Oreochromis niloticus: one gene and its partner. The protein of the gene in region 2 purifies or fractionates together with the protein of the main gene of each other region. This does not show direct contact. Links are inferred from orthologs where the notes say so. Each region holds a gene or a part of one and is shown on either strand. Other genes may lie near its edges.

Region 1 (12,107 bases), on a different chromosome or scaffold from region 2:
CCCTTATTTACAACTTGTAAGAAGAACTGGGGTTTTTTTTTTTAGGTTAAACTGAATAGAAACAAAATGATTTATTATCACAAGGGAAAGTTATGGTTAACTGGCCAAAGACCCACTTACATATTATACGTCACCCTATGTTCTTTCACAGATTCATGTATTTATTTCCATGTGTTTTTGTGTCTGTTTACACCAGATTTATTTAGAAATCAGCTAAAATTTACTGTTTATCTTTTTATTTAGCTTTTTTAAGTCCGCCTGTTTGCCATTATTAGATTTTATATTTTAAAAGGTATGAATTTTTTGAAGTTTGACATTAAGAAAGTCGATCTGATAAACTGTATTTTCCTTTTTAAAAGCTGCCCAAAGAGCCTGCTCCTCCATACTGTATGTGGATATGAGCACACGTAGCTCTTTGGCATGAAACAGTTGAAACATAAAAATAGAGAATGCAATATTTAGCTGAGGAGGGTTAGCAGTCCGATCATATGGTATTAATAAGCGACAGTGTCAGCAATGACTTCATGTCGCAGCATCAATCTGGATGACCACACTGACCTCATAAACTTTTCAACACCCGTCTGGCTGCTCGCAGAGAAAGACAGAGGAGTGGAAGTGCGAGCGTGAGCATTTGTGCCATTCAGCTCGAGCATTTTGATGATTGTCTGGCGTCCTAAAAATAAAAACTACAACTCCAAGCGTGTCAGCTTTTAATTAGATGCAGTGTAACATGGATGTATTTTGAGGCGAGGTCAAGCATGCGCCACAGTAAATCTGTGAGGTGATAATCAGCACAGGTAGCATTTCTAAAAGGGGGACTCACAGTCGGCACTGTTAACTAATCACACGGTTTAAAATCAGAGCTGGAAACAAACGACACTGAACTTCATATGTTGAGTATTCTCTGGCAGATTCAAGACTCAGACAAGTTGATAGAAATTCAACTAAACTAGATGTGAAAATAGCTCAACTAAAAAATATTTTAGTAAAAAAACAACAAGTTAACCCAAAAAAGTCAAAAATACAGAGTAACTGTCTTTAGTTTTTCACATTTTTAAATAAAAATATGGAGAGCAGTTTGAAAAATAACCTATAACATCTCTATTTGTGAAAATTGTATATATATATATATATATATATATACATATATATATATATATATATATATATGAATGACTGTGATGTTCTGCTCTTACGTTAGTTGTCTGGACTGGTGACCTTTTAAAGGAAGTTGTCAGCTGTAAAAGATCAAATATGTTTCTTTGGAAAACCCTCTGATGCATTTATGTTGGAAACACCTCCCTCCTCCCGAGCACCTTTCCAACGTCAGGCTGAGGAAGGGGAGTGCTGTAACTTTCCAGAACAGCGTGCACACAGCGTGCACACCCGGGCCTGAAGTTCTCCATCTGGGGCTCTGAGCTATGAGACATCACATACGATAGGACATAAACATATTTTGAAAGGTGGATAACCAGAGCTGGTGGGAGTTTGCAAAAGGTGTTGCAAAATCCGAGGCCGCACATTCCACTGAATTTATTCACTTTGACAGCAACAAACTCAAAATGTGCGAAAACACTTTTCTGGGTTTTTTTTTGCTTTTGTCAAGATAAAAGAAGAAAATCATCTTTATTAATAGGTTTTGTTGGTTGGCATCTGTGCTTTTTATTATAAGATTTGCTGTGAATTAAGAATAAAAATATATAAAATTGAAAATTTCCAAGTGAAATGAAATCATCACTACAAGCTTAATGTTTTAAAACCATCTAAACAGTATTAATATAACCAGTTAAACGGAAAAAACTAAACTGAAACAAGCATACCTACTCTATGAGTTAACTGAAACTACACTGAATGAAAGCATACATTGAGTCTCTGCATGACTCACTGTTATAAATGTAAGTGATGGTTAATTCAGACCATGTGACTCTTTATGAGGTTCAGTACTGGACGTCATATCATTTCCTTTGGCTAAATTCAGACGAAACTTGCCACCGGGTCGTAGGTCACGCTGAACAGATTCTGCCACCTGCTGCTTCTCGGCCTGAAAATTTCAAGCTGGTTGCAAAATATCTTGAAATCTGATTTAATTAAAACCTAAATTTTGAGCACCACATTGTGAGACTAATGCAGTCATGCTTTTACCATCTTAGAAATTAAAAAAAGATGTAATTTAAGATTTAAAGATGTGCTTTCACATGTGCCAGCTGTAAAAGATTAAATTAAATATGCCTGGAATGGAAATCCATATGCCTCTGATTTGTCTGGAACAACTTATGTTTTCTTTCTTTGAGTGAGTGAGTATTCTTCTTTGGAAGAGCTTTTTAGGATCCTAAGTTTGCTTTGGAAACCCCCTCCCCTATCCTTTGTGATATCTGTTTGGGCGGGAGTTCTGAGTCTGAGCATTTTTCCAACTTTCCAAACAGCAGTCACTCTGCATTTATGTTTTCCAACTGGACCAAAACTAAAAGCACAAAATCAAGCCATGTGACTGTGAGTTAGCACATACCTTACATGTCACATGCACAGGAAACATAGGCAACGCATTGAAGAATTCAAGGGCATAAGTCAATGAAGTCACTTTCATTTAGTCTGAGGCCGACAAAAAGCGTCTGTGGTATGTTTTTATTTATGAGAATATTTATGCTGGGTTAAATTAAACTAAAATAATTTTTTATTAGAATTTGTTTTTAAACTATTTCATGGTTTCAGATTTACAGCTTGGGGAAAGAGCAGATCTTTTCTTTCAGTTCCTGGCAAAGAGAAATATTTCCCTTGTTCAACTCGGCCTTCAAACTCACCGTCTAAAAATGGAGAAAACACCTCAGCAGGTCACCACTACATAACCTTCTTTGTGAGTGAGTGTTTTTTCAGAGGTTTACATAAGGCCAGAAGTTTAGCAGTGGAAACTCATTTGTTTGATTATTAACCATTTTATGGCTTTTACAAATGGGTGGGATTCACCATGACAGCATAGTGACATGAATTTCTATATCAGTCATGGCAGTCATCGTTCGTGTGGCAAGTCATGTCTCCTTGGCTTCATTTCAGGTAAAGTTATGAAAAGATGAGATGCAAACATGATGACCACTCGATTTTGACATTTCATAATTTCATGAAATAGTGAAGCAATATTGTTTCTGAGAAAGTCTCGAATTGGCAAAACTGAAAGTCAGATTTGCTGGTACATTCAGAGAAACTGGGAGTTTCAAAATTACAAAACTGAGAGGGAATTATACTGAAAATGGCAGGAAATGAGAAAAAGAAGGAAAAGATAGCAAGACTACAAGGAAATCGCAGGGAAAGAACCTTTTCTTCAGTGTGAAATCACTCAAACAAATAAAAAAAACCTATGACACTTACAAGTTAAGCACATAAACTGTAGTAGAGGTCACCAAGATGCCCAAAAGCTTGCATCTTCTAATCAGAATTAAAACATCCGCATGAATCAGGTCACTTAACATCTAGTAGAGGCAGGATTTTACAAAACTGCAGAGCTGTTGTTGCATGGTTCGTGTTAGATAACGGTCTATCAGGAAATTATTGCATCATGTACGCATTCCGGAAAAAGTTGAGCTGAGTTTGTTTTCTGCTTTGACAGGATATGTAGGCATCATAACAGACACACACAAAAAAAATAAGGTTGTTCTGTTTTCTGACAGAAATATTTGAGACGAAACAATCTGTTTCTTTTCTTTTCTTTTCTTTTTTGGAATGATTCTGAGTTGCTTGTAAATTGAAAATAATAAAAGCTGCAAACAGGATGACGTCGGCTTGCTCTGCTTGTCTTTGCTAGATATGTGCTTTGAAGCCATGCTGCTTTCTGCTTTATGGCTGCACATTAAAACAGCCCCACATAAACAGCTGCACCTGATGTGGGTCAGCCCATATGGAAAAAAATAAAATAAAATAAACATGCGTTTCATAAACCATCCTCTTTTGCAGTTTTTGACAATTCAGTAAGCATAAAATAAACATTATGTTACAGTAGCAGAGTTTTCTAGATAAGGTAAAACCCTTTAAAATGTATTTTCCTTTAATCTGACTGCTAGGACAAGGACATTACTGCCAGTGCTGAAGTCGCAGGTGTAATTTTGACACTATTATCGGGTAATAAATTAATCAATAATACATAAAAAGTGGTGTGAAAGACTGCTAATAATGCCGATTACTATGTCTGAATATTATTAACAGATGCTTACTAGTTGCATGTGTCCACAGCTGCCACAACTTACAATTTAAATTTAGATGTTAAATAGTGAAAATTCGCACATATTTTTGTATTCTGAAGCCAAAAACCAACATTCTCACAGTTAGGAAATCTGTGTCAGCAGTCGAGTAAACAAGATCATCTGATTACGACTAATCAAGAAAATCCCTGCATGTTGATTACATTTACTGTCAGTCTACAAATCTGTGACACACACACATGTAAAAACACACGTAGTTCAGAAATGAAACCATGCAGAAAGTTTTCTTTACCTGTCCTCACAGGTACATATCATCATATCATCAGACAGGAAAAGGAAAATATTTCATTATAATCCTTCCATCCATCCATGCAAAGATCCATATCTGTCTGCATGTCTGTCTAACCTCTTTTATACCCCAGCTGGTGAGTGTGGTGTAACCGCACAATAAATAACCGTCCGGTGTCACTCAGCCTGAACGGCCTTATTCACTCGTTAGTGTGGAATGCCTGGAATGGAAATCCATGTCAGTGTCAAAACTGAGAGAGATGACAGAGAGGGAAGGGAAGCGTGTGAAGAGGTGCTGCTTATGGAAACAATAATGGAGGGGAAAGAGGAATAATAAGATGGGGCTGCTTAGTACAAGACGGGACAAGTGTATGGGAGTGAAAAAAGTGGAGGAAAGAGAGACAAGAGAAATAAGATAAAAGAAGCAGAAGAACGAGGGCAAAAGACTTCGGATGAATAGAAGAAGGAAAGATGTAAAAGTACTATGATGAAGGAATATAAAAACATGGATAATTAAGAAAAAAGTATCAAAGTAAATACTGGGAAAAAGTGAGCAGAAAGAAACTGGAAATATAATGATGGAGGAGTGAAAAAGGAAAAGACGTGAAGGTGTTTAGTAGAAAACAGGAGACAAAGTGAAAAGGGAATAAAAGAAACTGCATTTTTAAAAAGAAAAAGATCAAACAGGTTAAACTGGTTATCTGTAAATACCATCAACCTACCAGGTGTCGCAGAGAAAAATTAGCCCGTATTTCTAAATTTGGTCATTTTACGAGACAATAACAGAGAAAAAGATTCAAGTGATTAGTGGAAATGTGTGTGCAGGAGGTACAGCAAAGGGTGGAGAAGAGACAACTGGAAATAGGATGAAAGAGATTAGATGGGAGGGAAGATAAGAGAAAAACATGTTGTGAAAGTGGCAAAGAATAGAGGGATTTTGGGACGTAAATCATGGAAAATTTTTAAAAAGGCCAAAGCTGATGGGTGGGGATTAAAAAAGGAGGGAGATAGAAACTATACCAAAAAAGGAGGATTAGAGATGATGAATGAACTGTTGAAAAAAGAGACAAATATCAAAACATGAAAAACAAAAAAGGAAAAAAGATTAAAAGACTGGGAAAGGAATAAAGCGTTGGTGGGAAGAGGGTAGGAAGCAGAGAGAGGAGGAGGAGGAGAATGAGGAAAGAGAGCTGAAAATGTGAGGAACGAGAGGCAGAGGAGGAAAAAACATGAGGAGGAGGAGGGAGGGGGACGCCTGTCCTGTTATGGCAGAGAAGAACACTCGGCGTTGCTAGATTGCATCATCGCCGGATCAGCCTTCTAAAAATAGGATGACGTCACCCCTCCCTACTCTCAGGCTCCCAACCCTAGCGCTCTCTCTCTCGCTCTCTAGTAGCGTTGCGTCATGTGTCCCGCCCCTTCAACCAAGTTAAAAGCGCGAGGTGACGCAACGTAAAGGCCACAAGAGCAACCGTAGCCAACGAGCAGGAAGCGGACACAGAAAGAGCGAAACGCAAAGACATAAGAGAAGGTTTCTTTCTTCACGGCGCACTTCATCCGATCCGGACACTCACAGCTTTAACAGGTAGGCTGGAGATCTGTTTCCGGTGGAAGAGGACTGGGGTGTTTGAGCGTGTGTGTGAGGGGCAGAGAGGCGGTGTTGTCGCTCTTTGATCCCGGTGAGAAGCGCAGAGAGCCGGTGTCTCCGTGCGCTCCGTCCCGGGACACTGCGAAAACTTCCGCGCGTGTTTTTGCGTGAAAATATAAAATATATAAACAAGCGCATCTTTTTGGAGCAGTTTGCACTAACGATTTTTCTTTTCTTTTTTTTCATTTTATTTTAGCGTATTTTGTATTTATAAAAAACTTTTGAGATGTTTTTGTTTCAAATCTGACATCATGCGACGTTTTACTTGAATTCTGCTTGAATGCATGTAGTTATACTTTTTTGTAACTTATTTATAATCAGGTATTTCGGATTTTTGCACTGGTTTCCTCGCTTTTGACGAGACTTTTAATATCGTTGTTTCTTCTTTTTTTCTTCTTTTCTTTTGAGCTAACTCTATAATAACAAAACCAAAACAAACACATGAATAGCCAAAATTCTCTTTTATAATTACCTGAACACATAATAACGAAACTGAAGGGAACAGAGGGAGGCGGTGGTAAAATATTTGTAGAGCTAACAAGACTTTTTAAAACTTTTTTTTTAATTCTAAGAAGGTGCAGCTGTGTGCAGACTAATACGAACCATTATCATTAATGACTTCGTTGCAAATGATTTATTACTGGAGAACATAAGAATATAATATAAATGTGCTTGTTTTGGTTTTGGTCTCAGAGCTGATGTAAACACTTCTTATCTGGCTGATGGCCATAATTCAACTCTTGTCACTTCTCTGTTTAGATAACAAACATCCACACCTCCCCAATTAATGAGCCTTTTTTACAGCATGTTTTCCACAAAGCAAATGTTTGCTTAGTTTTGAATGACACAGCCATTTGTCTTGTCATCACAATCTGTTTGTCCTCCTTAACATGCCATGTTGACCTTCCAACAAACCGATCTTAGCTTTGGTTTTCCTCCTGACATCTGTGTCTTTATTACTCAGCAAAAATCTGAAAATTCCTTTATTATTTTTGCCACATATTCAGATACTTTCTTGTGTTTGAGCCAGACAGTATAAATATGACTCCTTTATTTATCTTGTGACTTTCAGCATTGGTTTCATAGTGACTTTTTGTCCTAAGGACATTTTAGCTCTGGGCTCTTTTAAATTATATTAAGTGTTTCTGACCCACCTGACGATCTTCATCTCTTGCTTTTCCAGAATGATGCTTCAGCACTCGGGTCCTTCTCTGGCTGACATCAGCTGCTCCGCCTTGGTTCCCTGCCTCTCCCCTCCAGGCACACTCACCCTGGACGACTTCACCAACTTCACACCCATTGTGAAAGAGGAGCTCCGGCTGGCAATCCAGAGCAAGCGGTTGTCCAACGGGCTTAGCACCGACATGAGTTCTGATGGTGCCAGCTCCAGCTCGGATCGAGCCTCCGAGCTAACTTCATGCAGGAACGGAGTCAAGCGAGAGGTAAGGCAGAGGGGGAATTACAGCATGTAGTTATCTGTATTTTTGGATATGTTTTCTGTAATGTGTCTGTTTTTATATAGAGTTTTTTTTTCTTAATGGTTTATATTTCTCACTGGTTTTTTAGTTGACATCTGAGGAGCATGAAAGGAGGAAAAGGAGGAGGGAGAGAAACAAAATCGCTGCTGCCAAGTGCCGCAACAAGAAGAAGGAAAAGACTGAATCACTCCAGAAGGTAGTTTTCCACTTTCATCAATATGAGCATAGGTTATTCTGCACCTACTCTTAGCTTTTTGCACCCTCACAGTTAGACAATTTATAAAGCTCAACATTCCCAGCTTGCAGTGAGAAGTAGCTTATGTTTCTCGGGTGAATAACAGTCTCCTTCTTCCATCCTTCTCCACAGGAGTCTGAGAAGCTCGAGAGCATCAATGCCGACTTAAAAGCTCAGATTGAGGAGCTGAAGCAGCAGAAGCAGCAGCTGGTCTACATGCTCAATCTGCACCGGCCGACGTGCATCGTCCGAGCCCAGAACCCCCAGACCCCCGAGGACGAGCGAAACCTTTTCATCCAGCACATCAAGGAGAGCACCTTACAACTCCACGACCTCACCTCCACCACCACCTCATCCGCATCCACGTCCACAGCAGCGCCTCTCGGCGGAGGACTTCTGACTCTCGATCACGTCCAGTGCCCCAGTCACTTATGATCTCCCAGAGTGTTATCTAGGGCTTGCAATTCTTCCATCTCCTGCTGCTGATGTAGGACTGACTGGTTTCGCAGGAGGTGGAGTTGCCACATACAGACTTATGACCTGAGAATGAAACACCACCTGTGACTCCTCACACTCACCTGCCGCCCATAATGCTGCTAGAGAAAGAGAGAGTGGTGTAAAGCGACCTCAGCACCTTCCACTCCCTGAACCCGTAGCTGCTGATTGGACAGGAGTGAGAAATGATGGACAGCACTTTGACTTGCATTATGTTTCGTTTTTTTAAACATTTTAAACAGTCAGGGCCAAGAACAGATGCTAAAGCACTTAAACAAAATTCAACAGCTTTTCTTGATTTATTAGTATTTTAAATAGTCGATGGTCTGATTTTTGTACCAAAGCGCGATTTCAAGGTGATCAAGGCACATTATTTAAGAGTTCACCCCGAGAGAAAGGAGATTCAGTGTGAGTGTGTACAGATGCAAGTCACTGACTTTAAAAAGAAGCGGTCTCTGTTTAGTGTACAGCAAAGATTACATATTTATTAAATGACTACTGTATGTTAGGATGTTGCTGTTTTAACCCTGTTTGCTTGTCCTGTATACAAAGTGAATTACTAAAAACGCTGCTGCTACTAACCACTCAGGACCTAGGTATGCTGTAGACGTCAGTTTTGTTATACATAATACGAGATGACTCGTCCAAAAGCGTGAGTACGGGTCAGGTTCCTTGCTGTGAGTGTAGCAGACACAAAAGGGAAATGTACTTTGCAGGCAGGGTTTCTAATTCTGCACTTACTGAAAAAAGCCTAGTACAAAAGACAGTGTAATCACATGTATAGATAAGTGTTTTGTTTTGTTTTTCTTAAGAATTCAATATTTTCTGGCAATCACAGTTGCCCAATGGACACTTTATTTATCACTGTGTTCTCTCTTAAAGCAAAGGGGATTTTTTTTTAACCTGTTCTGTGACAATGAAGCTACACAAGTGTTATTTTACAGATGTGTTTTCTACCCAATGTCTTGTATAACGTATCAAATGCATATTAACTACGTGCTGCTGTATGTAAACACCAATGCCTCCTTTGGTCTCAACAGAGCAAAAACAAAAGTTATTTTTTTAAAAATGTATTTATTGAAAACATTTGGTCCAGATGTTGTGTTCATTAGATATCATTAGCTAGGTATCAGAAGCGCTGCATCAGTTTACTCTGAAGTTATGCAAGATTTGGTGACATGTTAGAATCTAAGTGTGTCGTGAACTTCCGCTATTTGAAAACCCATTGCCAAAATAGTTGTCGTTCACTTGCACACCCTTTTCTATTCTCTGACCTTTAAAGTTTAGAGTAAAAAAATGGCCCAAGGAAAAAAGCAGTTTATTGCGCAAACAGAAATTTGAGAAGCACGATGATTGCTGTTTGTCATTTTTTGGCAGTAAAATAAAGCCAAACATGAGATCAGAAGCCCTTTCTTCCTGAGCGACACCCTAACACTCTAACTTCTCCTTCAGTTACCCAATCGCTAATCAAACTGAAACTCTGATGTACAAACTGCCAAGCAAAGGATGAGTACATACCAGAAGGGGTTTCCTTTGACAGGACATTATGATAATGAATTTTGTAGACTGAAGTTGTATTCCTCTGTTAGAAGGTTTATATTGTTGTATGTGTTGTGCGAGAGTCACATTGTTAAAGGGACGCAGGCGTCTTTGTGGTCATAGTGCTTTTGTCACCTGTTGTCCCGATGCTAGTCATTACTAGATAGTCACTGAGCACTGAGTGCATGTATTCATATTGTGCCTATTTCTACTACTGAAGACTTTTTTTTTTCTCTATAGCTGTGTCATAGCAGAAATAAATAAAGGATGTCAGGTACAACTGCACTGCTACTATCACTGTGTAACTACTTCTCATCTCTGTTTTGATTTTGATACTTTGATAATTAAAGATGTGAACTGAAAATGAGACCTGTCAGATGCCTTTTTTTGGAAACGGACAGGTAAATGTGATTTGCACTGATGTGGAGATAATTATTATTTTTTTCACATCAGGAGTTTCTGGTAGAGAGCAGAATTCATGTTTCCATCATTACAGCAAGCCATTGGGGGGTCGTGAAACAGGACAGCAGTCCCAGACCGTCACCCTGACACCACCATGTTTGGCTGTCGTTTAATGAAATGCTGTGTTAGTTTCATACCAGACGTAACGGGACTCAAACCTTCCACAAAGTTCAGCTTTTGCCTCATCACAGTCCACGGAACATTTTCCCAAAGGTTTTAGGGATCATCAAAATGTTATTTGGCAAATGTGAGGCCTTTGTGTTCTTTTTGGTGCCATTTCTGTTCAGTCTCTTTCATATTGAGTCACAGCACTCTGACCTTAACTGAGGCAAGTGAGACCTGCAGTTCTTTAGATGTTGTTCTGTTATTTGTTTTTTGGTGATCTTCTGGACGAGTCATCAATACATCAAGTTCCAAAATTTCTTAATTTTATGGATGGTGGTCCCCAAAGCCTTACAATGGCTTTGTCACTCTGTCTAGACTGATAGATGTTAGTGACTGGTTATCTCATTCTAATATTATATTTTGTTTGATGATCTGAAACGTAACTGGGACAAAAATGCAAAAAAAAATAAATCATTATTAAAATATCAGTAGTACATAATAATAATAATGGTTAGAGCTTAATAAATGTGCAGCAATGATCGTAGCACTACAACCAAGCTCCATGAAGTTCAGTGGAAGAGGGCTGAGTAGCTGATTTCTTATGATAATCTTAAATTAAATTACGACATGATTATTGCTACAGTGAGCTCACATGATGCTAGTGGAAAAAAGCTGTGATAGTGCATTGATAACACTAAATAGAGCAGAAATACAGAAATATTAGTGCCTTGCTCTTCGCTGTTGGAGCTGTACAATATCTTATACCTATAGACTTTCTGCACTTATGAAAACATGTGCCATCTGATGCAACACATTGTAAAACAAATGTTTGCAATGCTTATCATCAATAATCACCACTTTCTGACAATGCAGTTGACCGGTCAGTTGCTTTGGATTGCATCAGATCCATTTTGAAACAATGATTTTCGTTTTGTAGCCATTAACCTGCTCACGTACGTCTCATGTTCTCCACGTCTGAAAATGACAACAGCAGAGCTAACAAAACTCATGCTTGATCTTTAGAAAACTAACTCTGCAGCTGTGAGCTTCTGTTTTACTTTAGGAACACAGTTACATCAGCACCGGGCCCACTCTCATTAAAATAAAGAGTGTGTTATGAATATCAGAAAAAATAACAGAGTTTCCTTGAAGGATACTCGGTTTTAAAAGCTTACATTCCCAGATGGGTACCAGGAAGCTGCTGTACTTCTATCACCATGTTTTTTTCCACAAGTGGAACGATTTCACAACATAAACGTTTGCTTACAAAAATCTCCTACAGAATTCCTACATGTAAGCACAGAGCAACTGTGCATGTGATGGAGCTGAAGGACAAGACTGAACATGTTCTGTTCAAAGAGGTAGAGGCAGGCAGAAGGGTGAGGTAACACTGCCTTGTTAGATATGACTGGATGTTTTCTACAGTATCTGTCCAAGAAGGCTCTGATATGTAGTTCACATAACAACAAACCCACCCAATAAGGCCACTGGCCTATCGCTACTGGACCTCAAGAGATGTAAACAAGCGTGTTCAAACATGAGCCAATTTGCGGAATGTGCAAAATCAAATCCATTTGTTTCCCATCTTTTTTTTTATACATAGTTATGCCTAAGTTGCAACATAGAATGATGTGAATGATGTGATATAATAGGGAATTAATCTGATGAAA
Region 2 (11,082 bases):
ATCCTTTTCAATACAATAAACCTCATTTTATTTGATTCTGAAACCATGCTTTATGGTTTAAGGTTTAAGGGTAAAATAATGGCCACACCACTGTTAAGAAGGAATTTCATTGTCCAGGGAAAGACCACGAAGGACGGTGTTGCTTTCGAAAGCTTTTCCGTTGTAATTCCAGTAGATGGCGATGTGCGCCTACAAAACCTTCAGAAGCGTCACGACAGAGCCACCTTTCTGCTGTAGCGTTAACGCGCCATCATACAGTATATCAGAACGTGAGCACATTCCAGACAAAGCTGTTTAAACGTTCCCCGTATATGTAGCTACAACCTTCACAGCTCTGTCTTATGTAACACAGAGGGCCTCCTCTGTGAGGCCCTGATACCGTCCTGTTAATGGCAGCACACATGACACAAATAATTAATCACGTTTTTTTTGGGGGGGGGGGGGGGGGGGGGGGTTGTTATTTTAAGAGATGAATGTATAGACTATATCATAGACTATGTCAGTTCTGTGTCATTTCCAGGTGTAAGCACATACTTTACAAAGCTGTAATAAACACTATGTGGACAATCCGAGTGCTTTTTCATGACAGCCACAAACTTTTCCTAAATCCGCTCTCATTACCCATCCAAAACAAGCCACGCAACTTCTGAGGGATCCTCAGATGGCCACCGAAAGGTGGGAGGAATATTCATGGTTCTCGAGAAGACAACAGAAGATCGGAGAGAGGGAGAGAATGAGTGAGAGCGAGAGAGAGAAAGCCAGGCCTGCGAGTGTCTGTGGGAGGGGAAGGGGGCTCGTGGAGAGGAAAATCAAACCCACCCAGGGCTCTTCGTACGTCACCGTTCACATCACAGATGTTCCCACAGACACTCAGTGTGGGTTGTGGGCCGAGGCGTGTGGAGAGCCAGTATGGCTTGAAATTGACTTTTTTTTTTTTTTTTTTGTCTTTCTTCTTTTTTTGGACTGTGTGTGCCTGCATTGTAATATGTAGGCCTGCCTACTGCGTAAATGGAGACTTAAGCGCTGGAGTGATATTTAAAAGTACTCATTCTGAGAGTTGGAGCTGTATAAAAGTCATGAAAGCGGTGTGATGTTACATGGTCTGTTTCACTGCTCACAATTTATATATAACTGTACATATATAACTGCACACAAAACTGCTGAAATATAGGAAACAGGTACTGATCTCAGTGTACATCCCCTTGAATATAGGTTTCTTGATAATAATAATTACAACAACAAAAAGTCACAGAAAAAGGAGAACTTGTGTGGGCGAGCCCGGTTCTGTTTCCACGTCCAAACGGCAAAAAACAAGTGGAGTTGTTATTGATGGAAATTAAGTATTCAAATACGTGTCAAGTTAAAAGAGAATACGGGCTACCTCTCCAAAACAGCTTGAGGTGAGAGTGCGCGCACAAAACCGCAACCTTACCTCCTAGACTCTTTTGAAGTGGCTTTCGTGAGTACTGAGAGAGAGAAATCGCGTTTTTACGCCCAACTGTCTTGATTATTTGTACGTCACCGAGTGTGTTCACAGGACAGAAATCCCCCTTCGGTTTTCCTGAGACCACTTCGTACACAGCTGCTCTCTCGGCCAGTAGTCACATGGTCAGGAAAGTTTTTCAAGACCTGGTTTCCGTGGAAGCTGAAGATAGTTCCCTACGCAACATTCAACCCACCACCTTATAGCACACACACACACACACATATATATATTTTTTTTAAACCAGTGGCATTTGAAAAGCTTAAAATGTTTAATGATTCATTCACATCCTCTTAACGCGGGACTTTTCCCCACTCTCGCTCTCTCTCCATCTTCTGAGATCCTGCTGCCGCACATATTTGGCCGCTGATGCGTCCCACCAGAATGTTGTCCTTGGCAGCGCGCACAGCCCCATCCATCCACACAGATGCTCCTGCGCGTTCCGTACGCCCACTCTCGCCTACTGCTCTGCCAACCGGCGTGGCATCTTGAGACGCCCCCGGCATTCCTGAAGGTACTAAGTCACTGTCACTTCCCGTCGTGTGCGATCTTTCAATTACACTGACACCTAAAAAATGCTGCAACAACTTTGAGGCTCGAGCGCCACCAATAGGTGGCTAGCGTACGAGTTTAAGAATCTTCATTTATTATATTAAAAAAATAACAATATTAAAAAGCACCACGATCACAGCCGTTTTATTACTGCTTCCTGTTATCACGCCAAGCTCTTGTTTAGCTTGTTTAGCTGATAAGAGATAAGAGGATCGCACTTTGCTCTCTTCCCGTTTAAACACTTTATTTTACAATTGCACAATAACCAAAAGGAAATTCCGCCACCCTCATGAAGTTCGCAAATCTTATCGATACAGTATATAGAGGGAGTGAGGAGGAACCTGTTTGCGTTACCTGGGCGGGGGTTCCCAGAAATCCTCCCCTGTGACGAAGTAGTCACCAGTATGCCCATATATGGATAGCCCCTGCGTAATTAGGAAAGGCCTACATACGCAAGCTACGCTCTGTGCGTAAAAACACCGCAACCAGAATGTGCTTGTGTAAGAGTTCCTCACTGGGAGCTATAGTAACTGTTATGGTTACAGTATGGTAGGAAAGAAAACCTCGTTTGCTCTTCCCACTCTTTCCCGGTGCTGTTGTTGTTGTTGTTATTGTTATTCTAAATTATGTGTAGATGTGTGAAAACAAAAACGCTCAACTCCACCATTTCATTTTTCATTTTTGAGACACTTTACTTAAATATACAACACAATTTTAAAAAAAAAGAGACACTGTAAACATTGGACATCATCAGTTTGTCTGGATCAACCGGACACATGAAATAATTTACACAATGAATAAATGCAGCCAACAAACAAAAAACTAAACAAAGGGGGAAAAGGAAGATGGTACAAAGTAAAACAAATTATCGTTCCCATTTTCTACCATTAGTAAACCCGACTTATGGGCATGTGCGCCCACTGTGTTGCTCAGTGTCTGCTCAGTCTGGATGCTGCCCTGGATTCTAGGGTTGAATGGTCCTGTGAGGGGTGTCCAGCATCCGGAAGTACCATTACAATCAGTCTTTTCACCCTAAAATAGCCTTCAGTATCGTCCACACCTAGCCCTCGGCCCTGTGATGCTGACTACACACGAGCCGGTAATTCCAGTGCTGCGCATGCAGAACATGACTCCAGTGTTATCACTTTTCAGTCATTTTTTTTTTTCTTCTTAGTAGTCTCTGGTATTTTTAAAACGCCTCCAGCTTGCTTGTGAGCATCAGCTGGCAGCCGCTGCTCACGTGTGTCAGGACCTTCTGTTTGAGCTGAGCTACCTGATCCCGGAGGACCGACGCCGTGTTGGAGAGCCCCGCGTTGTCGTTCTTCAAAACTTTCACCTTCTCCTCCAGCCGGGCGATGCGCTCGAGCTTGCGCCTCCGGCATTTGGTAGCGGCTAGTCGGTTCCTCAGCCTCTTGCGCTCCGCCTTGATCCTCTCCTGGGTCTCCAGGTCAATCGGGGACATCGGAGGCGAGCCGTCACTGCTGAGCAGGTCGGGCACGGTCTGAGGCTCCTCTTTCAGAGCGACCAGCCGCTGCGGATGGAGTCCGGAGACGGGGAGGGTGTGCTGGAAAGCGTGCGCGCCGTGCGTCGAGCTCTGCTGGTGGTGGCTCTGCTGGTGCGGCGGCAGGTAGCTGATGGTGGCTGTGGGGTAGCTGGATGAGGAAGATAGGTTCGTGTTCGGGCAGTAGGCGTTCAGTGTTGTGTAGATGGGGGGCTCGGGCTGCAAGGCGGAGCCGAAGACGCTAGAGGCCGCCGGCGAACACGTCGTAACTCCACCGGCTCCGATGGACACGTTAGGGGGGGGCATCTGGTTCATCTTGTGGAGCTCGTCCAGTGCTTTCACAAAACCCTCAGCGAAGCCCTCCTGCTCATCGGTGATGCCCCGGTTGTAGAAGTACTGGCCCGGGGTGGGAGTGGTGATCACACCGTTACTGTTTTGGATGATGAGCTTCTCGAGCTCTGGGGATGCGAGCTTCAGGGACCCCACGTCTTGCTGGCCCCCTTGGTACAGGTCTGTCTCGGCCCTCAGCTGGGATTTCAGGTTGCGATAGGGCTCTGTCAAGTTCAAATTCATATTCTGCTTTAGCAGTTTGCAGTCGTGCATTGCCGCGTCTGAGTGGCCGTAAGCCGACAGAAAAGAGTCGTCATGATAAAAAGGCTGTTCCATCTTTGTAGACATAAAGTCGTAGGAAAAAAGTGAGCTTACCGGCCGCTTACAGAAACACAGTCTCTGGGTAATCAACAAAAGTCAGTGTCAGCAGAGAGCATGCATCAAATCGGGCACTTGTAGTCTCTCTTAAACAGTGTTTCCAAATTTCAAAAAATGAAAATCACTCGAGGATGAAGAGCAAAGGAAACAAACTAGTGAAAGTCCAGCAAGAGTTCAGTATCAGCGGATTTCAAAAGTCTTTCCCGGAGCCTGTTTGCTGTGGTTTTTTCCTTCAAAATCCTGTGAAACAAAAACTTCTTTCTCGCAATTCCTATTTGCCGCTGTGTTTGTCTTGGTGCTTGCTGAGGTGTGTTCAGGCGGGTTCATGTGCGCCGTTTTATATAGGGTGCTTCGCTGTCATTGGACAGAGTGTGTGTCTCCGCGCCCATCGAGTGCGTCGTCAAGTGACGCTAATGCCGGGAAGAGGCGACTGTAAACAAGCCTGTAGGCAAGAGAGCGCTCCGAGGAGGGCTCGCAGCGGAGACCAATGTCAGAAATAGAAAAGTCCGACGTATTTATGCACGACTTTGCGCGTTTATGGGCTGAATAAATGGTTGTTGGGTAAGCGAGGAGGTGAGATTATTCCGTTAGAGCAAATCGCTGCTTTTCTAATTCATTTGTAGGTTCTTTAATGTGTCTTAAAACTGCGTTAAATGCGCCGGTTTGGGTTCATTTTATGTCATTATAGCTTCATGGGATGCCCATTAGTTCACGCGCAATCTGTTGTTGGATCCATTGGGTATGAAATATACAACAAACATCAGCTGTTTACTGCAATCGGTCCCATGGAGGAAGTCGAGACTCCTTATATGGGCACACTGACGTATAAGTTCCTCTTCTGGACAACCGGGAAGCCAGGCCCACTCCAGGCCTCATTCCAGCAGCATTCCTGCTCCTGTCTAAATCCATGTGGCTAGGCAAGTTAGGGACTTTCTGCCTCAGACAATAAGTTCAGTTCTTCTAGAAAAATAACATTCATTATTTTATATGAACCATCTTAAAACATGAAAATACACATCCTAACTTGTGTTAATATTCATATATTTTTTCGGGGGGGTTCACAGGTATTGACATGATATATTCAAATGACTTGACTGCTCCACTTCTAAGTGACGCCTGAAAGCACACAGCAGTGACACACATCAGCGGAGCAGAAAACTGTGATCAGCCACAGAGCAAACACTTCCTCCTGTAGTAATCTGATAGGATGCTGATGTTGGCCATGTCGCCTGAAGTAAACAGCTTTGATCATGAAATAGAGGAAACTGAGGAAATTCTGTCCAACACAGCCAAAGAGGGGGGATTACACCGGGCAAGATTCACAAATAGTGTTTTACCCTTTTGATGTCAGAAGGCCATTAAAAAAAAAACCAAACAAAAACACCCTTTTTTTCTTTCTTTTGTTTAGATTTACATGTAGAGTTACTGTGATTTGCTCGGTAGGATCGTAGCGTTGAGAGAAAAGAAATATGATTCCTCAATAGAGCACCTGTCTCAGTAGCGGAGAAGGAAACCTTTGTCTCCTGTTTGTACTTCTTCCAACGCCCACACAATCAAGCACCACTGCCTTCACTACTGTATCCCACATCCCTCTACACACAAATCAAGTCAGGTAGGATGCTTTGCAAAATCCTCTGGCTGTTCCTGAGGGATGAATCTCTGGTCTTGTGTACTGAAGACAAGGCCGTGGCAGAATGTATATTACAATAACAGAAGCATATAACAAAAACTGGCTCTCGAATCTTCATTAACATGTGCAGATGATCAGTGTGACAAACCGCCTATAACCCTATCAAATATTCACACCACCCACCATGCTCCAGATGTGTTCCCATTAAAAGGATTATAAAATAGATATTACTTAACAATTAATAAAGGCAGGTATTGTTACAGTGATTTTTATGCCTTTGCAGTGACAGCAACCATGACTGCAGGTGTTATGCTTCCAGATTATTGCTAAATCTGTAGACTTGTTCCACCCATTCTCGCGAACTTGTCTCCTGAAGTGCTTCGAGGAAGTTTCTTCAAACTTGGCACAAACATCCATTTGGACTCAAGGTTCACCTGATTTGAATTAGGCAATGTCGCAAAAACACAGTCTTAGCCAAAACTCAAGAATTCTAAGGCGAAATATTAAATGGCACACAAATGTCTGATGGGATGCAATTCTGACATTAATTTCTAAAAGGTCAGAGGTCAGCCTCAGTGTGAGATCATAATCTGGAATCTTTCAGTTTCCTGATTCAGGAACAGAAAGGGAGACTGCAACTACATTTCAGATTTGGTCAGATATTCAGACGTGGATGTGAAGTTTGGTGCCAAAAGTGTCAAATTCCTTTGAATATGTTACTGTTTCTATGTGCTTGGACAGACCTGAATTTAAACTGAAACTTGACTTGTTAAAAGAGACATACAACCACAACACACTTATTTTTTTTGCATTTTTACATCTACCAGGCAGCAACCTCAAGGGCTCAGAAAGAATGACAGTGCAGAAATGCAGTTCCTTTAATGGCCACTTGAGGCGCTTTCTAAAAGTGAGCCAATCTCCATAAACCTCCATGTTAAAATACCAACTTACAACATTAAAAACCATCGTGGTATAACAAAGGTCACTGGTCTTTATGGAGACTTTCCACATAAATAACATCTGTACTGTTAAGTTTTTTCATAACGCATCCATTTGCATTATGAAAGTTGTGACAGCTGCTAGCATGTGCAGCTTTAGCTAACAGCTTTCTTGTGTTCGCTGTTCGTGTCATTTTAAAGGAGTTTTAATGGAACTGTCTGATAAATAATATTGCCTTCTGTAAGGTAAGGACCGTGCAAGGTTTTGGTAAGAAAAATAATAGCATTTTAATTGTTCATATCAGCAGTTTGCTAACCAAGTGAGCTAGCTTTAGCAGCTCACGTTGAATTTGAGAAATGTTTATCTTGGGACGCACCCACTGTGCGTCACAAGGGTTTTTTTCAACCGTTTTTTTTTTCACTTGAAGTGACCGAATGTCATTGACTTTCTGTGGTCTCAGGTTTCCAGTTAGCTGCTAGTCACTTCCTGTGTGGACACACTCAGCTTTAAGCTGAGACTTTAACAGGCGGTCTAAAATCAGTGATCTGTGACTACAATCTGGAAAAGGTGGATGTTTCACCCATTTATCCATCGTAGTAAGATAGCTGTTTCTATTTATTGTTATTTAATAAATGTATAGATTTGTATCTATATAGAACAGTTTATGCCTCACATTAACACAAACCTTTATTATTGCTATTATCAACCATTTGCTTACTCTTACTCTTATCACTTTTCCCTCCATTCATTTGCTTCCGCTTATCCGCTTCAGGGTCACAGGGAGGCTGGAGCCTACTCCAGCTGTTAAAGGGAGAGAGGTAGGGTCCACCTGGAGAGGTCCCAAATCTGTCACAGGGCCAAAACAAAGACATAGACAACCATTCGCACTCACTTTCACACCTACAGCCCATTTTGAATCACCAGTTAACCTAACCCCATGCTTTTTTTTGGACTGTGAGTGGAAGCACCTGGAGACAGAACATCCAAACTCCCAGGGCCCCAGCCAGATGGTGGATTCAAACCCAGGACCTAATTGCTGTGAGGGGACGGCAAGCTAACCCCCGCTCTCAGTTTTCCATCTGTTAGTTAAAACAGAGTTAATTAGCCCAACTTTCCCACGAGCATGCCTGGAAAAGTATAAGTTTACACCTTGGTGGTTGAGGCTGTGCTGTATAACAAAAACAAAACCCAGCACAAGAATTACACAAGAGTACAGTCATATTTGTATATTTCAAAACAAGCACAGCCACACCTTTGATTATTTAATCTGTGACTTTCTCATCCGCAGAATCCACCTCTCAGTGTATTTCCGACCTGTGCCAGAGCAGGGGGAGGGGGGCTGAATCAAGCTTTCAACAGGTTTTCCCTTTGGGTATGAATAGTGACAGCCACCACCCTGTAATACTATGTATTTGCCTTTTAAAAACTCATTGTCAGTGGTGTTTAGGCCTAAAGCGGAGAGAGCTTTTAAACCTGTCACAGAAAGGAGAACGTTTACCGTTGACAGCCGTTTGCTATATTCTTGACATGACTGGGAAAGTTAACTGAAATCACCACTTTTAGGTTCTCCATGCCTGATTGTAATTACCTCATCTCAGGTAATTTGCTGGTATTCAGAACAACTATTTTAACTCTATGCCTTTTTGTGAGTATCCATGGGAATATGGCTAAACAGAGGAAAACAACAATTCCTGGCAGTGTCTTGCCTCCACTTTGCCACCTCCCTTATAAATTCTGTCCTCTGTGCAGCTGCCTGTTTCTGATGCTCTGCTCTTGCTTGGGTTTAGGTTTTATTCAGCACTGGGGTTTGAGGTTGACCACACTTCCAGTGACATTTTGGCACAGAACAACAGCACAGGGTCCAGAGCGGTGAGTGTTTACGGGAACACTCGTGAGGTGGCACCGTGCCATCTTGCCAAATGTTAGTCAAAAGCACTAATGTTTGCTAAGCAGTGGGAGAGACAAACGTGTGAATGTTGCGACAGATGTACGGCGTGTCTAATATGTGATTTTGCTTCTGCTCAGAACAATCTCTATTAATCACCACCTTCAATTATAAACAGAAGAGCTGCGAAATTTGGGTCGATTTAGCTCTAAGTGATGACGTGGTGATTAGTTGAAGGGAACCGGTTTCATCTTTTGCAAAAACAATAAAAATCGTTTTTAAAAAAACGTGTCCGACATCTTAGTCACATCTTGATTAGTCACATCTCTGTTTAGTCTGTTAAGATTGTGTGTGTACTCTAGTATAGAAATACCTTCAAGTTCTGCTTTTTTTTTGTACAGGAGTTCTACTAATACCCGAAACCAGCCCTAAGATTTAGTGTTCATATTTTTTTTATGCATATTTTTGGGCAAACTTTCAAAGAGTTCCAGGGCAGGACGAGCTGCTTGGCAACAGACTCAGTTTAAACAGTCAGGATCACATGGATGACTGCCAAAACCAACTGAGTGTTACCTGCTCGGGATCCTGGGTGAGTTTGGGAAAGGCAAAGCCTGAGGGTGGGAGGAAGCTGTTTACGGTAAGAATAAGAAAAGTGTATGTGTCTTAAGTATGTGTGTGTGTGTGTGTGTGTGTGAACAAGCACGTATATCACTCGGGGTGGAGTATGAGTGTGTGGTGTTTTTTTAACCACAATGTGAACATCTGCAAGAAGGGAGGATATAACAAAGACTAAAGTGTTCGCAGTGAAAATGTTCAGATTTGTGATTTTGATTCAAAGTCATTTTTGCATTTGAAATATTTTATTCAGTAGATGTGTATCTATGCAGATTTCTAGATATATTTTTGCATTATTAGTGCACAGACACATAGCATCATCAATTCTTACCTTGGATAATCCCTGTAATTTCTTCACCCTATAAACTCTGTCCTTCAACAGAGCAGGCTTTCACAATAAGCCTACTTATTGTGAGGACTGAGCTCTCCTCACCTCCTCCTCTCAAACTGTCCCATTGTCCCTCGCCACCTCTGCACAACTCTCCTTTTGTCAGAGCCGGGCTGCCAGCCTACTTGCCGTCTGCTTCTCCACAACGTGTTGTCCTTTTGGTTGGGCGAGATGGCTCCGTCTATGTGACTCACAGAAGCTAGGGCAGCAGGGGAGGGGGGGTGGTGGCAATCAGAGGTCAAAGCCCCAAGCTCGCTCCACACTTTAGAGTCTTTCTCTGACCTTCAAAACTTCGCAAAAACACCCACTCAGCAGAAAAAGAGTCGGGGTTAGCGCGAGAGTGGAAGGGCAAGGGGAAAGAGAAAGACGGGCTCAGTCAAATGAGGTTTGTTTGTGAGGTGCCCTCTTGACAAAGCAGCTGACTCCTTCCTCTGGACATAATGGGGCCTCTCATCCAAGGCGATGCTCTAATCTGTTGTGACTATGGTCACTTCACTGCCAGGTCTATTAATAGAGTGATCCATCATCATCATCATTTGCATCATCATCAACATCACATGATGGCCCGATGATGTTTTCCTCCTCTTCACTCTGTCAACCCCAAATGGCCTGTTTTGATCTATTAATGGTTCATCTTCAACCTTTTCAAGAGCCACTAATTTGAAGGCTAGAGTTCATGAACTTTTTAACGGAGGATGCATCACTGCGTCCAACGCTGCCTGGCAGCTTCAATAAAAGATCGAGGTTTTGCAACATATCATTATTTTTAGAGAACTTGTGTAAAATTATACAGCATTTTTCTTTAGATTATTTAGTTTAATTTCACATAACAGACCAATATGAAGCCCTGTGATAGACAGGCAACCCAGTGTACCTCCATGTTTCACCCTGTGACAGCAGGAATAGGCTCCAGTCCAGATGGATGGATATTAAACCAACAGTGAGAAACTAAATACAAAGCTCGTTCAGTCGTCAAATAAATTACTGTTGTACTATTCCTGTACTATTCACCAAATATATTTCCAGCTTCGTTTGCCCTTCAGAAACTCTGTGCCTATTTCGCGACACAATTTCACCACGTTTAAAATGCATTTCGCAGACGAACTAAATTATTGATGGAATATTTTATTTCCCAGGGCCGAACTCTTTAGTATTTTATTTCTACTTTATAAATAGGATTTATAACTCGCTTCTAACACAAGTTGCTCTGGAATCATCAATTACACCAGGTTTAACACCAGATATATGTAAGACTTGGTGATAGACACATAAAAAACTCAAACTACTGCCAAAAGCAGAATTAAAAAAAAAAAAAAGAACTTGCTGATCTTACATGAGGAAATAGTTGGAGGGAAGAAGCCTCGCGCCTACACCCATGCCC

Evidence for each region.
Region 1: the proteins of junbb (region 2) and atf3 purify together in Homo sapiens (affinity purification with mass spectrometry; 3 studies listed by BioGRID and IntAct, counting the BioPlex papers as one, with this or other methods). This does not show direct contact. The link is inferred for Oreochromis niloticus from reciprocal best matches to the Homo sapiens genes JUNB and ATF3.

Annotation. Positions count from the first base shown.
Region 1 is NC_031980.2:22,556,257-22,568,363, reverse strand, and holds atf3 (cyclic AMP-dependent transcription factor ATF-3), read left to right. Parts: upstream 1-5,902; 5' UTR 5,903-6,060; intron 6,061-7,306; 5' UTR 7,307-7,307; coding exon 7,308-7,565; intron 7,566-7,689; coding exon 7,690-7,797; intron 7,798-7,968; coding exon 7,969-8,271; 3' UTR 8,272-9,928; downstream 9,929-12,107.
Region 2 is NC_031969.2:8,274,481-8,285,562, reverse strand, and holds junbb (junB proto-oncogene, AP-1 transcription factor subunit b), read right to left. Parts: upstream 4,570-11,082; 5' UTR 4,215-4,569; coding exon 3,225-4,214; 3' UTR 2,702-3,224; downstream 1-2,701. UniProt on the Homo sapiens protein: Transcription factor involved in regulating gene activity following the primary growth factor response. Binds to the DNA sequence 5'-TGA[GC]TCA-3'.